Linked DNA regions of Caenorhabditis elegans. The protein of the gene in region 2 interacts with the protein of the main gene of each other region in a pairwise test. Each region holds a gene or a part of one and is shown on either strand. Other genes may lie near its edges. The genes, in order: R11D1.3, cest-5.1 and R03G5.6.

Region 1 (3,358 bases), on a different chromosome or scaffold from region 2:
GGCGATTTCAAAATTTGGGCTCATTTTTTACGATCAGCCACAATTAACTATTGTAAGTATACTTTGTGGGCAATTGGAACTTATGGCAAACTTTTGTGACTAAAGTTATAAATGGTTTTATTTACCAAAATTTTCAAAATTCGAATTTTTGGTTTTTTAAAAGTTATTTTAAATTTTTTACTAAAGTCAGAACTGCGTTTTTATTTTAATTGTTCGATGTCAAATAATATGGAAGTTAAACAAACAATATCCACATTTACCGGGAAAAGAGTATTCTTACATGTTTCGATATTTATATTTTTGTATGAGAATTATAACATTTAGCGAGCTAGAAAATAACATTTTATGGCACTGTAAGCTGTTGCGATCTCTCCATATTTGTACCGAAATGTGTTGAAAAATGCAGCGCAAGCATTTCGAGAACATTTTGAGTGCAACAGATAAATTGTGTTCGCTTGAAACCGGTCTAGTTTTCAAAATATTTACGAAATGCTCTGTGCTAAAAACGGTTCCAAAAAAATATACAAAGCCGAAGTTTGAGCTCGAAAAATATAATTCAACGAGTTCCTGAGACTACTTTTAAAAAAAGTTTTGAACATTCAGATTGCTATATGTTGCGAGAAGCAAGTCTATGCGACCCCTAACAACAACACTGCAATCAACCAAGAAGCGAAAAAATGTATTTTTGAAAATTCTGGAAACAAAGCTCTTCAGGCGATTGCACTTTATAATAACAGTAAGTTTCTTATAGATTTTGAGTAAAATATTAGATTTTTTCAGTAAATAATTGTCTCAGCCCAGAAACTCTCGATTCGGTACTCGAAGACTTGCAACCAGCAATATTGGCCAACTTAGCTGGTCTGCTCCAAAAACTTAGAACATCTCTAATCAATTGCAAGGCATCAGGAGATGCTAAACTAGAGACTTGTGCACAAAAAGTATATGGTCTCATATTGACAGAGTTAACTTTCAAATACGTGGATAACTTTTGCATTAAAATTGTCACCGAAAATGCGACACCAATTCAATGGAGTTGTGGCAAGAAATACCTTCCAAATATTCTCACTTTTAGTAAATATGAATGTTCGCAAAGTGTTAAAAACTAGTGGTTTATGTACTTTTTCTGTTCGTGTAATTATCATTGAATAAAAGTGTGTTGTTTGAAATTGTTCTTGCAATTTGTTATAATTTTTATTACTCAAAGGAAATTACGACAAATTCCACTTATGGTCCCCAACTTTTTCAATTAAATATTAATAATAATAGTTCCAAAATTTTTAGAAAAATTTCAAATGCCGTTCAAATAATAAAATAATATGTGGAAAATATACTATAGCTGGAAAGTAATATAAATTATTAAAATTATTTAGGACTAACAAATGATTAAATTTTCCTGAATTGTAGAAAAATAAGTTATAAGAAAATCGTTTTTAAAAATTTTTGAAACACTGTTTAATGTTAAAAGTAGCTTCTTATATTAAAAAAAAACCTGGTGAAACATCTAGTAATTGAAAATTTTTTTAGAATTTTCAGAAAAAAGTGCTTCTTTTTGAATTTTATAACTAGAAATGTGTCACTAAACAGTGTTACTCTTGAATTTTGCTTAATCTATATAGCTATCAAAAATCAATAACTGATAAAAAACATGAAGAAATCGTTATACCAATTAAGTTCATAATTGTTTCATTAGAGCATAAAAAGTTCTAGAACAATATGTTTAACCTGCACAGTTCATTTACCATAATACCAAACATATCACACTCAGATGAACACTTTTTAATCTCGCCATAATTCTTTTGAACTTTGATATCTTAAATGTCTAAACATCCAATATGTTTTTCAAATTCCATGACTATATTTTTTGGTCCCTGGTCTCTCACTAACACAAAATCTATGGTTTGTCACTGAAAAAAAGTAATCTAGAGCTTAAAATCAAAGTAACACAAATGGAAAACAATTAAAAAGTGGGATGATTCGAAAAAAAAGAGGAGACAGTCTGTATATAAAAACTATGATGATCTATGAATTTCTCATACAGTATCGCCATGAATCAGTTGACTAGTTTAATTCTCGTTTTACTCGTACAATATAGTCATGGAGCTACGAATCGTGACACAATGATGGATATGGTTACTCAAAAGTTAGGAGTTACATTCTACACATCTACTGAACTTGGAGTGGTGAGTTGTATACTTTGTATCTTAACTAACATGTTTCCAATTCTATTCAAATTTTTAGTAATCCTTTAAAACGCATTTGTCTCCTCAAAAGCTAACTAATTATTTTCAGATTGCAAAATGCTGTGAGACACAGTTTTGGAAAACTCCAAACAACAGCACAGCAGTCCTCGCAGAAGGCAAAAAATGTGTATTAAATAACTCAGGAAACAAAGCTGTTCAAGCACTTTCTCTTTACAGCAATGGTATGTTGGAAGTAATTCTCAAATCCTAACTGTAACCTTTTCAGCCAACAATTGTCTTAATCCTGATTCACTTGATACAGTTGTCACAAAATTGATTGGTCCAATTGAAACACTCACTGCAGCACTGGTGAAGAAAATAAAGGCAACCCTTAACGATTGCAAAAAGACGAATACACAACCAGCTGCAGCCAAACAGGAGACATGTCTTCAGAAAACATATGGAGTTGCAAAAGCTGCAATTACACTCACATACTGTGATGGGATATGTAAGAAGGTTGTGAACCAGCATGTTAGTGCAAAATGGTGGGGTTGTGCACTCAAACTGCTCCCTTCTGTGATGAATACGAGCAAATGGAATTGCTCGAAAATTGTTAAATCATGATTATTTTCCCTGATATGGGTCAGTCGAATGAAATCTTTAATTATATTTCACTAAAGGTAATATATTCATGTTTCTTCTATATAAAATTTTGTTTCAAAAAATTCAACTAAAATGAGTCAGTTAGATAAAAAAATCAGTTTTTTTTCTCAGATTGTTCGAAACATTAGAAACATTACTCAATTGAAAGTTTTGACGCCAGTTTGGTTCAGACTATTACAAACTATGAAATGTATTTCAAGATGCTCCCCTAATTCAGTTGCCTTATGGAACTGGCTGAGTAATTCTAATGAAATTTCGCTGAAAATGCAAGACTCTTCATTGTTTTCAATCAAATGATTTTTTAATTTTGCCTAACTTCATCGTTTTTGTACCGTCCTTCTGAGCTCGGTGAGCTCTCCAAACTGAGAAAGGATTGATGCACATCACCGTTGAGGCAACAACACATGCTTTTTCGTGGCTAAAACGTTTTAAGTTGCGTCTTTTAAGTTGTTCAATCATGCTCAATATTGTATTGTTATATATTTATCTTATATGAAGCTATATCAAAGAAAATT
Region 2 (5,756 bases):
TCTGATGATGACAGTTAATATATAACTATTGACTGTAAACTCACCGGTTGCATTCCATACTCCATTCCATTTTTCCGCTGATTCAGGTTTTTGAAATCTCAGAGTTCCTATCGGAGGTTTCGCAAATGGAATTCTTCTGAATAATTGATATTTTCCTGACTGTTTTCCTTCTAGACGACCGAGGGATGTTTTTATTATTCGAGGATAAACGAATTGAAATGAAAAAAGTAGTAGAAATAGAGATGATGATGATATGTAATACATTTGAATAACAATTGTGCAAATTGTTTTGCTTCGCGATAATCAATACTGCCTCTCCTGATAAGCAAGAAAATATGGGGAAACAAACAAATCACAATGTACAATGTGATAACGTAGGTATGTATGCCCTAATATATTTAATAAAAACTGACTTTTTTTAAATTGTTGGTTAAAATATTATTGTCGAGACATCTAAGTTGCGTTGATTGATTAAAAAATCACGAAGTAAAGGAGAATTCGTTTGAATGTGAATCATTTATTCTCAAAAGTCATAAAATCCCTTTGTACATACACACATGTTAAAACTATTATTAGTCTGTTTTTTATCGAGTTTGTTGCAATTTATTTTATCACCCAACAGTTTTTTATATGTTGATATCGTTTTATTTTGTTTGAGGATTCACATTATTTAGAAAAAGCAATCATAAAAAAACAAATTAAAACAGTTTATTTCAGTTTATCTAAAAGTTTCCTGCGTTTTCATAATTATTTCCATCCAATCGAATATACAAATTTCGTCGTCTCAAACAACAATATCTTCCAAAAATACAACCAATAAGGAATATGGAAATGGCTATTAATGAAACACCAATTAATGTTCCTGCTTCATCATTTTGCTCCAGTGGCTTTTCTATGAATGGCACAGTTTTAAGAGATATTTGTTTTAATTTCTTCTTTGTTTCAGTCACTTTCTGATCAAATTCAATCATTTCCTTGAGCCAATAGTCAGTGACCTGAAATTAAGTGTTGATGATGAAACAGTAAAGTTTGAGTTAGAAGCAAGGGGCGCCACAGGGGTAAATCAAAAATTGGCAAAATCTGGCCGAGACTTGGTTTAGGCTGCGGCCAGTTTTATTATTATTATTTTTGGGTCAAACGTAGGCAAGAAGCTAGCACTAAATTCAAAATTTCCACGGAAAACGACACTGTAAGGGCGGATAAATGGAATGATTAAAAACACAGAAATATGTTGCAAAAATTGAAAATTTCACATAAGACTAACGGTTGTGTTTTAGAGAGGCGCCCTCATGGTGGAAAATCTCTACAAAATCACCTCCTTTTCGAAATATTTTCTCATTCGTGGCCTTTCTCCTGTCGTCTCGTTCCAATAAATATCAAAATAAGTGGACTCATTCTGTTCAGACTTTTCGAAACCCATTCCAGGTTCTCCAAGCTTTATAAAATTAATAACCATATCCTTATAAACTTGCTCCAAATGCACCTCATTTTCGTCTTTTTCAAATGCATGAACTCCCATTATATAAGAGAGATCATCGGTATGTCTACCATGTTTCGGATAAGTGTATTCGTAGAGGTATGCCTGTAATGTAATGGAAAATGAATTCTGGATAGAAAGAAAACTAACCGTGACATTATTTTCAAGTAGATTATTTATTTGAAGTTTTAGGGGAAGAATTATCCCTTGTGTTTTATCAGTATGATTTCCTCGATCTAAAACTTATTCTCATAAATAATGAAAAAAAATTAATTGAGTCGCACCGACTTTCAACACCACTTTCAACATCATTTCGATATTTTTCATCACATTCGTCTGGATTCTCAAACTCTAAATATTTTCCGAATGGAACTTTGATAGATTCATGATCAAATTCAAGGTTTGTGCAACCTGTGAGCATTGGAATGTTTTTAGGAGATTTCAATAGTTCGAATTTCTTCACATCAGGAAATAGAGGTTCTCGAAGAATAACACCACCAAAATCAGGATAACCTTTATCTTCAAGTAATCTTTGGATTCTGAAATTGAAGATTAGTTTCAAGACTTTAAAGTCCTAAACATGGAAACCCTTTTGTAATATTTCTATCTTTCAGAGAACGTTATGTTCCAATTTCGATGATTTATTTCAATCAGTCCTTACCAGCTAGAGAAACACAAAATCAAATTTGCCAAACAAAAATCGAACAACCATAAGTAAAAAGTGTAATTTCTTCAAAAAAAAAAAACGTTTTTTAAATGTCAAATTGAGAGTTCTAAATGAACCATGAAATTCCGTGGAAATTTTCACATTTTTTTCACAACATTGAGAAAAAATTCAATACTATTCATGACGCCTAATCCATATGCAATGCACTCGAAATAAATACAAAACTGATAAAAGAATAATGAAACAGTAAATTTTATTTCCATAAAGGTTCGTTATTTACAGCTGTTTTGATTTTTCTTTTTCGAATGATCAACTTTTTGAATTTCTGGCAGAATTAAAGTCCCATAACATTTTTAGCGTTTGCTGATATATAGAAATTGAAGATTAGTTTGAAGACTTTAAAGTCCTAAACAAGGAAATATTTTTGTATTACTTCTATCTTTCAGAGAACGTTATGTTCCCATCTTGATGTGGGTTTGGCAAAAAATTTTAAAACTATTTAATTACATTACCAGGTCTCAACTAAGTATACAATTCTGAAGTTTGAAAAATTTTGGACGATGTCGATTTATTAAACACCTAGAATACCTTAATAATTCCATTCCACTCAATTTCTGCAAACACTTCATCATGTACATTTCCTGTTGACTTCTTTCCATTTTTCTTTCTAATTTCAATGGAACTGAACAATTGGCATATTCAACAAATCTCTTAGTTCCTTCAATATGATCCTTCAATTCTTCAAAGTAAAAACCTCCAGACATGACAATTGCTTGTTGAAATAGACTGAAAAATTGAATAAATATTTAATAAGATTTATTTTAATTTACCTCAAATCTCGATTAATCTCTGAGCTGAATGTCATCATAGACGCAAGACCTCCACCATAAGAATGTCCGAAAAGTGTTATTTTTTGAGAATTTCCACCAAAGCTGTGAATTTCTGATTTAACAAACTCCAAGGCAAGTGTGATATCTTTAAAAAAATGAATATTCGGGGGTTTTGTTGTTACAGCTTCAGTTGCAAACCATAAAGTGCCAAATTATTTGGAGCAACATTTTGATTATGTACTGTAAAATGCGAGAAGATGCCCAATCGAAAACCAGGAATTACAAGAATCACATCTAAAAAACACACGCATTTTCTAGGTGTCAATGTTTTCGGAAAATGTGTACAGATATTTTTGAAATTTCCTATTAGTCTTTCACAACTCCCCTGCTCTGTCAAAAGTTGCTCAACTTTTGAGAAATGAACAAATATGTGAGACGAATTTTATATGCTGAAAATGTTTTGATTAAACCTTTCTTGATGCCTAAGACAAAGAAGAAATGAGCTGTCAAAGTAGAGGAACTTGGATGCAAGATTTATAGGAAAAATAGTGTAATATAATAATTAAAATTACCTTACCACGTTTCACAAATGTATCCAATAAAACTGTGTCATTAAACATAACAGCACTGTCATAAGTCAGTCCTCCGCCGTGAATGTACACTGCTATTGCACAATTTCTTGACTTCTGAAGAAATTTATTGGAATTTATTTATCAAATTAAAATGGTAACTTGCCAAACACTTTTTTGAAGTGAAAATATTAACATGTAGACAATCTTCATCAACCCATTTTTGAGGACTTTTTGTTTTAGAAGAATTCGACATACATGCTGGGCCATATTCTGAACTTTTAATTTAAAAATCGCTTTATATGGCTTTAATACGGTATAAGACCTCACCAATAGCACTTCTTATTCCATCCCATTTCCCGGCTGCCTCTGGTTTTTGAAATCTTAAATTTCCCACTGGAGGTTTTGCGAATGGAATTTTTTTGAACAAATGATAATCTCCTATCTCTGCACCTTCCAAATGACCAAATGAAGTGTGTATAATCAGAGAATCTGCTGCATTAATTATAAAAATTAACAGTAACAAGCGCAAAGTATTCATTTGAATGCTGTTGTTTTTAGTGAACAAGACAATCGATTATTTTTGAGTTCAATTGATAAGAGTCTGACTACGATAGTGAATCTTATTGACATATCACACAAACAATTGCTGGAATTTAAATTTCGTAGCTTAGTTGTCTCAATAATTCCGATATTATAACTCTATTTATATATGTCAATTTTTAAACGTACTTATCTTAAGATAAATCTTCAAAAAATTGCCAAACGAGTTATTTTCAGATTTGAACACGCGCGCTTTTTCTTCGGTCGGCCGTGGGTCGCGAATTGGAGAAAGTTCAGCCACGCGTTGTGTACTCCACTCGGACAACTGGAGTATTTATTTTTCTTCACATATTTTTTTTCTTTTTCTGCGGTTTCTTTCGAATGATTACAATAGTTTTTCATGGTTTAGTGAAAAAAAAATTGTTCGTGTTATCTTGCTTTAGTATCTGATTGCCATTACCAAAGAGCCACCGTTTTCAGGTTTTAGGCCTTCAAAAATCCGGATGTTTGTAAAATGTTTATAAAACGACTATTGTTTTTATTTTCCGCCATATCGGTGGTTTCTTGCCTTTCAAGACATCCGAAATTGTTGCTCATCTCATTTGACGGATTTCGATACGATTTATTAGATGAAGTATTGGTGAGATTTGCAGAAAATGCTGAATTAATACTTTTATTTTATTTTTCAGACACCGAATATTCACAAATGGGCGTCAATGTCTACATGGTTTACTTCAGGAGTGAAGTCGCAGTACGTAACGTATACTGCGCCGAACCATATGAGCATTGCCACAGGATTGTTCGAGGAAGAACATGGAATTGTCGGAAATTACTTTTTCGATGCAGATACCAAAAAAGCGTTAGTTTTTTTTTTGCTTGAAAATGTAAAAAGGACGTTCTTTTTTTCAGATTTGACTATTTCAATTCTACCGGAAAAGAAGGTGTCGTGAATGCATCACAAGAGAGTTTCTGGTACAATTCTGATCCCATCTGGCTTACGAACGAGCGATGGGAGTCTTCCAGAAGATCTGCGGCGTTTTACTGGCCAAATGGAGAATCACAGTTTCCATATATTCCCCATAAGCCTAAAATTGCAAGGTAATTTTAGAAAAGTTTATTTAACGAGAAGTAGTACTTGGACAATTCAGTTTTTCAGGCCATGGACAATTGTTGGTGATCTGAAATCATGGATGAAGGACGCTGACGACGTTATCGATGCTTTTATTCGAGAGAAGGAACCTGTTAATTTCCTCGCTTGGTATGTAGCAGAACCCGATCACACACTTCATGGAAACGGATTTCATAACAAGGAAATTGAGAAAACATTAAAGAAACTTGACGATCTATTTCTTTATTTTATCAAAAAATTCGATGATAATAATTTGGGAGCTGATGTGAATATTATCCTAACAGCTGATCATGGACATGCAGAAATTAAAGGTAATAATTTAAAATAGTTGAAATTAAAATCTTCATAATTCCTAAAACTAAATTCAGATCACAAACATGTCATGTGCGTGAAAGATTATGTATCTGGCGCTGGATTCGAAATGGGTGATCATATGATTTATCCACACTCGGATGAAATTGGAAAACAAATTTATGCAAATTTAACATCAGCAGTGAAAGAGCATGGATATGATGTGAATATTCATTGGAGAGAGGAAGTT
Region 3 (5,844 bases), on a different chromosome or scaffold from region 2:
CATAGTAAATTAATGCAATATCCCCACAAATGGTTCTAATTGTTTTTTATTTTAGTAAATCAAGACAGTTTACGTCAGAGCTAGCAGAAAAACAACTACGAACCATGTCACTTTTGATAAACGCCAAACAACATTTTCTCCGACAAAAACTAATTTAATTTGCAAACTTAAACTCATAAAGCGGAAATTCATTCTTAAAAAAAACGCACTGAGTGTATAAAATGAAAATACGCCCAAGAAGATTATCTTCGCGGCAGGATTTTTTGCCTTTTTTTGCTGCTGCCCCTCCTCACTGACCACCGCTACCAATCTAATTACGTCGATTGCGCTGTCTATATATTCTCAATCTCATTCTTGCAATTTGCTTCATGATTACTATCCTTATTGCAACAAGTGGTGCATATTTAGTTGAGTAAGTTGAGTTATTTTTCCTCAGCGCTTATTTTGAGAACCAAATTTGAAAGAAAAGTTATGAACATAGAACTAAAAATACTGAACGACAAAATAAAAAAAAAATTTTTGATAAAGAATTTGAGAATTGAATTATTATTCAAATACAGTGTTTAAAACTCAAATCTACGATATATCTTCAAACTTTTTATGGCAATTGTGTGTAAACTATACGAATTTTAGAAGTAAATTTGAATTTCATTCATTTCTTAAATATTATCCTTTTAAATAACGCTATAGCACACTTGATCAAAAAATATAAAAACTCCACGTTTCTATTTTCACAACTGAAATAAATTTATTTTGAAATTCATGCCGATAATACAAAATTGGCCTTTTTGTTACTCAATTCAATAATACGAACCATATTCTTTGAGTGAGACAAGAATCTCTAACAATTTTAATTCAAGATTAATCTCATGACTAATAAATCATCCGAATCAATAGAAGGGCAGTTTCAAAAATCGATAATTGAGGAGAATGCGGATTAACTGAATATAGCACATATTTTCAGTGAGTTTCCTAAAAAAACTTTATATTTATAAGAATAAAACTTAAACAAAAAATTACATTAAAAAAGTCCATGCATCAAAACAAAGTCCGCAAGTAGTCGTCACGGTGTACGCACCACCCGATACACCAAACTATACGACAATAGTCCTCCTCCCGTCGCCATCTGCCCTCTACGCTCACAATTAGTAAACACGAGGGAAAAGGGTGAAAATGTCCCTCTCTCTTACACCCAACACACGCACTCTAATGCATACACACAGAGACACACACACACACTTTCCCAGCCGAACATATTTTGAATTTTCATCGCCAAGTGAATTTCGACATAAACCCAATAGAAAGCAAAAACGTTGAGAAATAGAAAGAAAACAAGAACGAAAAAAAATATATTTGAGTTTATGACCCCTTCACAGCATGTTTTCGTCAGTGAGAAATGTGTTTGTTCCGTAGTTTTTTTTTCTTCTTTTTCCTGCTATTTTTGCTATCTATCTGTGACTTCTCCCACCACAACCAACCACTCATTCTGTTTTTTTTTGCCCTCTTCTCGTTTCCTCTAGAAAAAAAAAAAAAAAGTAAAAAAGAAAAAGTAAACGGAAAATAGAGAGCATGAGGAATAGAAAAGCAAATATCGGTTTTCATTTTATTTTATTTTTTATTTCTCTTTCTTCTTCTTTTTTTCACACACACACACACACACACAAATTCAAGCGACAAAATTGAAACTTTTATGTTTATTATCTTTTTTTTCTCCGAAACATTTTTAATCTTCTCGTCACCTTTTTGCCGATTCTCCTCCTTTTTCTGACACAATATTTTTATTCGTTCAAGATGGTTTCGCTTACAGGGGCATTGGGAATGCCTCCGTTTCGAGAGCGATTGGGGACGGGATGCACAAAGGATAGCAAGGTTTGTTTTAATTTCCTCTGATTTGACTACTATTACAACCACTCCCCCCTCCCCACCGGCGGATTACTTTTCATTGCGGTTTGCTGCCAAGACCACCCGAGCTTTGTGTACTTTTCTTTAGTTGTTTCTTTCATGCTGTTTCAAAATTTTGCTTTGTTTGAAGCATTTTTTGCTCATGTTTCGAAAGTAACTTTGACTGATTCTACATTTTCAGGACTCTGGAATCGAGTTGTTACCTAAAGCAAAAAAGCAACGAAATCGAAATCGACATCGAGCTCGCATGCAAACAAGGTTTGTTTATTTACTTGAAATTTAAAAACCTCCCACTTCAAAATTTGCACCTCTCAAATTCAAATTCAAACACATGTCGCCGCCGAAAGGTATAAGCATTGGTCTACGGAAAATCGATAACGCCCTCACTCCCCCGGGTTGATATTTCGCACCTGTACGAAAGCTTTCAAAGCAAAACATGTTTTTCGGCAACATTGAAAAACGATTGAAGGAGAAAAATAATCTCTCGAAAGTGTTGATCAGACAATTTTTAGTTTTTGTCGATGTTTTCACAGAATCGGAACAAACATGACAAAAGGGGAAAGTAAAGTTAACAAAAGTTGTGTAGTAGCTGAACCCCAAATATTTGTTAAAAGTAAACCGACGGCCATTGAGATTTAATCGAAATACTTTGACAATAATCTAATATGACCAAATATATTTCAAAATTTTTCGGCAAAATCAGGTAAAATGCCAATTTTTAATATGGATTTGTTTTTAGAAATTTCAAACATTGCTGATGGACATATAATGTTCAAATACAATTGATTAAAACATATTTAGAATATAAAGCTTAAAATTTAAAAAAAAGAGATATATTTTAGATTTCATTGAATATTTTCTGAAACTCAATATTGTAAAATTTTTCATCAGAAGTTGTTCGAATAGATTCAAAAAACTTAGGAATATTTTCTTAAAACCAAACCGACATTTGCTGGTATTATGATCATTTTTCTGGATCAAAAAGTAAATTAAAAGTAAAAAACGAATTGCAAAACGTTAATTAAATAATGACCTATTGCCATTGATAAACTTGAATTTAGAACATTATATTTTATGGAACGTCTTTGCAACTAAAATTTTTACAATTTCTTGTAAAAAATTGCTCGAATTGACTTCGAGATAATTTCGAGCTCTTTCACAATTACGACCTGGCATTTACGTGTATGTTGAGTTTTTAGGAACAATTTTTCTAAACCTTAGAATTTATAGGCACAAAGTTAAATAAACATTGTTCTATTGCTATGGATAAAATTAATTCGAACATTTTTTCAGAGCTACTAAATAAATCCCATCATTAAAATTCAAAGCAAAAAAAAACAGAATGTTTAAATGCCCAAAACCTATTTTAATTAAACTCAAAAATGTTGAAAACTGATGGTTTACAAAATTTTGTGAAAAAAAGAGAAATCAATCGTGGGCTTGATGGGTCAAAAAAGCACCGTCTATGTTTTTTCCATCAATCTCTCTAATTCTCGAATCTTTTTTCATCACACAAATCCCAACATACTCCCTCTCAATTGTTACAGAAACATTTTGCAACCGAAATAAGAGAATATCATCTCATCTCATTTTTTTCTTGCAGTGCCCGCAAGAAACCAATCAGTTCGATAAAGGAACATCTTGTTGACAGTCGACGAGAAGACGCCAAACAAAATGCTGAAAATTTGGTAGGTATCATCAAAGTGATACAAATAGATCAATGAAATTCAGAGTTCATTAAATTCTTGATTCAGGTTGTTTCCGGCCTCTGGCTGATCGTACTCTATTTTACAAACCTCACCTTTGGACTGCCACTTCAGATTCTGTGGCCAGCGAGAATAAATCAGTGAGGAGTTTGTATATTAAAAAATATAGGAATATTGTTTTATGAAAAAATTTGCAAAAAAAACTGGAGTTACCATAAGGTTGTAAAAATGATGCAAAAAAATGTTTGTGAGGGAGGAACTTTGGAACATAATATGAGGGCGTAAGTGCTGAGAAATAATTGAATTCGATTGAATTCGTAACAGTGAGCGTATAAGAAAATTGGATTTTGGATATTTGGGCGAATATAAACTTTGGAGTTCATCGAAAAGAAAGTTCAAAACACAACAATGGAAATTTCAAACTAATAGTGTGTTTCATTTCATTTATCCTTAATAATTTCAGCGCTGCCGTGGCTCTCAGCTATATGCTAATTGGAGTATGGGTACTATGTGCCCTGTTTTTCTTCATCTTCCGAAAACGCAGCAGTACTATGAAATGGTACAAAACCAACCCAAAAACGTATTACTTCGCGTGGATTGTTCAACTGATGGGATTCGCGTTGTGAGTTATATGTATTTGTATTGTTTTCTGATATTCAAATCAATGAAAAAAATTGTCAAATTTTTGAAACAACTCACAATTAAAGCAAAAGTTGGGAGAATCAATATTTTTGGAAAATATGAATCCTTTTTTTGTAGTTGATAGTTTTTTAATAATTTTTAAATGGTGACTTTGCGGGTATGATCATCATTTTGAAGTTGAAAAAATATGCACTTATTTTAGAAAATAATACAATTTTTTCTATTCCTTTTCTAAAATTACAAAAGTCTTAGTTTACTAGCAAAATTGAAATTCAACTAGCTTATTTCAGCTAAGCAAATTACGTGTCTATTAAAATTGCACCCAAAATCACATTTAAAAAGCCTTTCTTGTTTTAGCATTTACAGAATGGCGTTGCAGACAACATTAATGAAACGTGTATGCAGCAGTTTTGAAACATCTTTTTTTTTAAATAACCCATTTTTTCCAGATTCTGCATTTCTACATATCCCCAAATCCACCGTTGGAGTTACTTGGTCTCCATCTTCTACTTCAGCTTTTTTGCTACCATCAGCAATACTTTCCTGTAAACCATTTGACATGACAAAACGGTCCAATCTCTTCTCAATTCACTTTGCCCTCACACTCTCACCTCACCAAAATTCATTTTCCTGTGACTTATTACTAATTGTTGCCTTAAATCCGGTTAGCTACCGAGTTCCCAAAAAACCCAAATGCTTTTTTGTTGTTTATGTAAAATTTCAGGTTTCCCACTTGTTTCACTCAGATTCTTCGTAAGACTGTGTGGATAACACATACGTGCCTGACTCACACAATTGACCACGTGTTCTTTTGAACTAGATACTCTTCTTTCAAAAAAGCTTTCTCTTAACGCCCCCTCTCACTCTGAATCATCTTAGAATTTTGATCTCTTTCCCAAAAACCTCCCCGCCCACACAATTCCTCAATTCCGTTGGTAAACCTATTTTGCCTGTCATTTTCTTTTTGTTAATGCTTATTGTTTTATATTTCATAGTATGTATGTAGCAATAAAACATGACTTCTCAGAAAGTTTCAATTTAGAATAGCTCTTGAAGAACTTCCAACAGATGTTATGGTTGTCTTGATAGGGAATTTGACAAAGGTGCTCCGCAGGTAGACTCTGAAATAAACAAAGGTTTAGATTTCAGAGCAACGTATAAACAAAGGAAACATAAACTCACATCATAATGATGATCAACATTGAGTAGTGCCATCTCATCATAATGCCGCCATACTTCAACAAATAAAACATATGAGATAAATATCTATCAAATTAACATACCCAGTAAAAAAACTTTTCCCATTGCCGAACAAGTTCTAGCCAAGGAGATACTTTGAGTAACATTTGATTCAGACCATCCGAGTAACCACAAATAATGAAGTTCCACAATGCCTGAAAGTAAATCTAGATAACACACAATATTGTAGCACACCTGAAGAAATAAACCAAATGACAATCGATTATGATGTACCGCTAGCTCATTATACGTGGAATATGTCTTTCTCAAAATCATTTTCACAGCTATTCCAGAGACTGGGGTCACAATTAATGTTAACCAGTTCATTTGAAACAACACATAGGCAAAGTTATTT

What was found.
Region 1: the proteins of cest-5.1 (region 2) and R11D1.3 interact in a two-hybrid assay, tested with the Caenorhabditis elegans proteins (one large-scale study listed by BioGRID).
Region 3: the proteins of cest-5.1 (region 2) and R03G5.6 interact in a two-hybrid assay, tested with the Caenorhabditis elegans proteins (one large-scale study listed by BioGRID).

The regions. Positions count from the first base shown.
Region 1 is NC_003283.11:12,710,783-12,714,140, reverse strand, and holds R11D1.3 (DUF19 domain-containing protein), read left to right. Parts: upstream 1-2,041; 5' UTR 2,042-2,045; coding exon 2,046-2,180; intron 2,181-2,289; coding exon 2,290-2,422; intron 2,423-2,466; coding exon 2,467-2,804; 3' UTR 2,805-2,848; downstream 2,849-3,358. Other genes in the region: R11D1.4 (DUF19 domain-containing protein), read left to right, coding at 1-52, 604-736, 781-1,106.
Region 2 is NC_003282.8:6,627,656-6,633,411, forward strand, and holds cest-5.1 (Carboxylesterase type B domain-containing protein), read right to left. Parts: upstream 4,100-5,756; 5' UTR 4,085-4,099; coding exon 3,874-4,084; intron 3,817-3,873; coding exon 3,710-3,816; intron 3,661-3,709; coding exon 3,552-3,660; intron 3,269-3,551; coding exon 3,173-3,268; intron 3,120-3,172; coding exon 2,975-3,119; intron 2,931-2,974; coding exon 2,733-2,930; intron 2,347-2,732; exon of another isoform or gene 2,325-2,346; intron 2,199-2,324; exon of another isoform or gene 2,139-2,198; intron 2,017-2,138; coding exon 1,766-2,016; exon of another isoform or gene 1,762-1,765; intron 1,714-1,761; coding exon 1,628-1,713; intron 1,583-1,627; coding exon 1,316-1,582; intron 996-1,315; coding exon 723-995; 3' UTR 630-722; downstream 1-629. Other genes in the region: cest-5.2 (Carboxylesterase type B domain-containing protein), read right to left, coding at 1-1, 45-264; C01B10.9 (Bis(5'-adenosyl)-triphosphatase), read left to right, coding at 4,601-4,726, 4,776-4,945, 4,996-5,184, 5,243-5,526, 5,584-5,756.
Region 3 is NC_003284.9:7,805,060-7,810,903, reverse strand, and holds R03G5.6 (2TM domain-containing protein), read left to right. Parts: upstream 1-1,789; 5' UTR 1,790-1,818; coding exon 1,819-1,869; intron 1,870-2,083; coding exon 2,084-2,160; intron 2,161-3,505; coding exon 3,506-3,590; intron 3,591-3,656; coding exon 3,657-3,748; intron 3,749-4,071; coding exon 4,072-4,230; intron 4,231-4,699; coding exon 4,700-4,799; 3' UTR 4,800-5,275; downstream 5,276-5,844.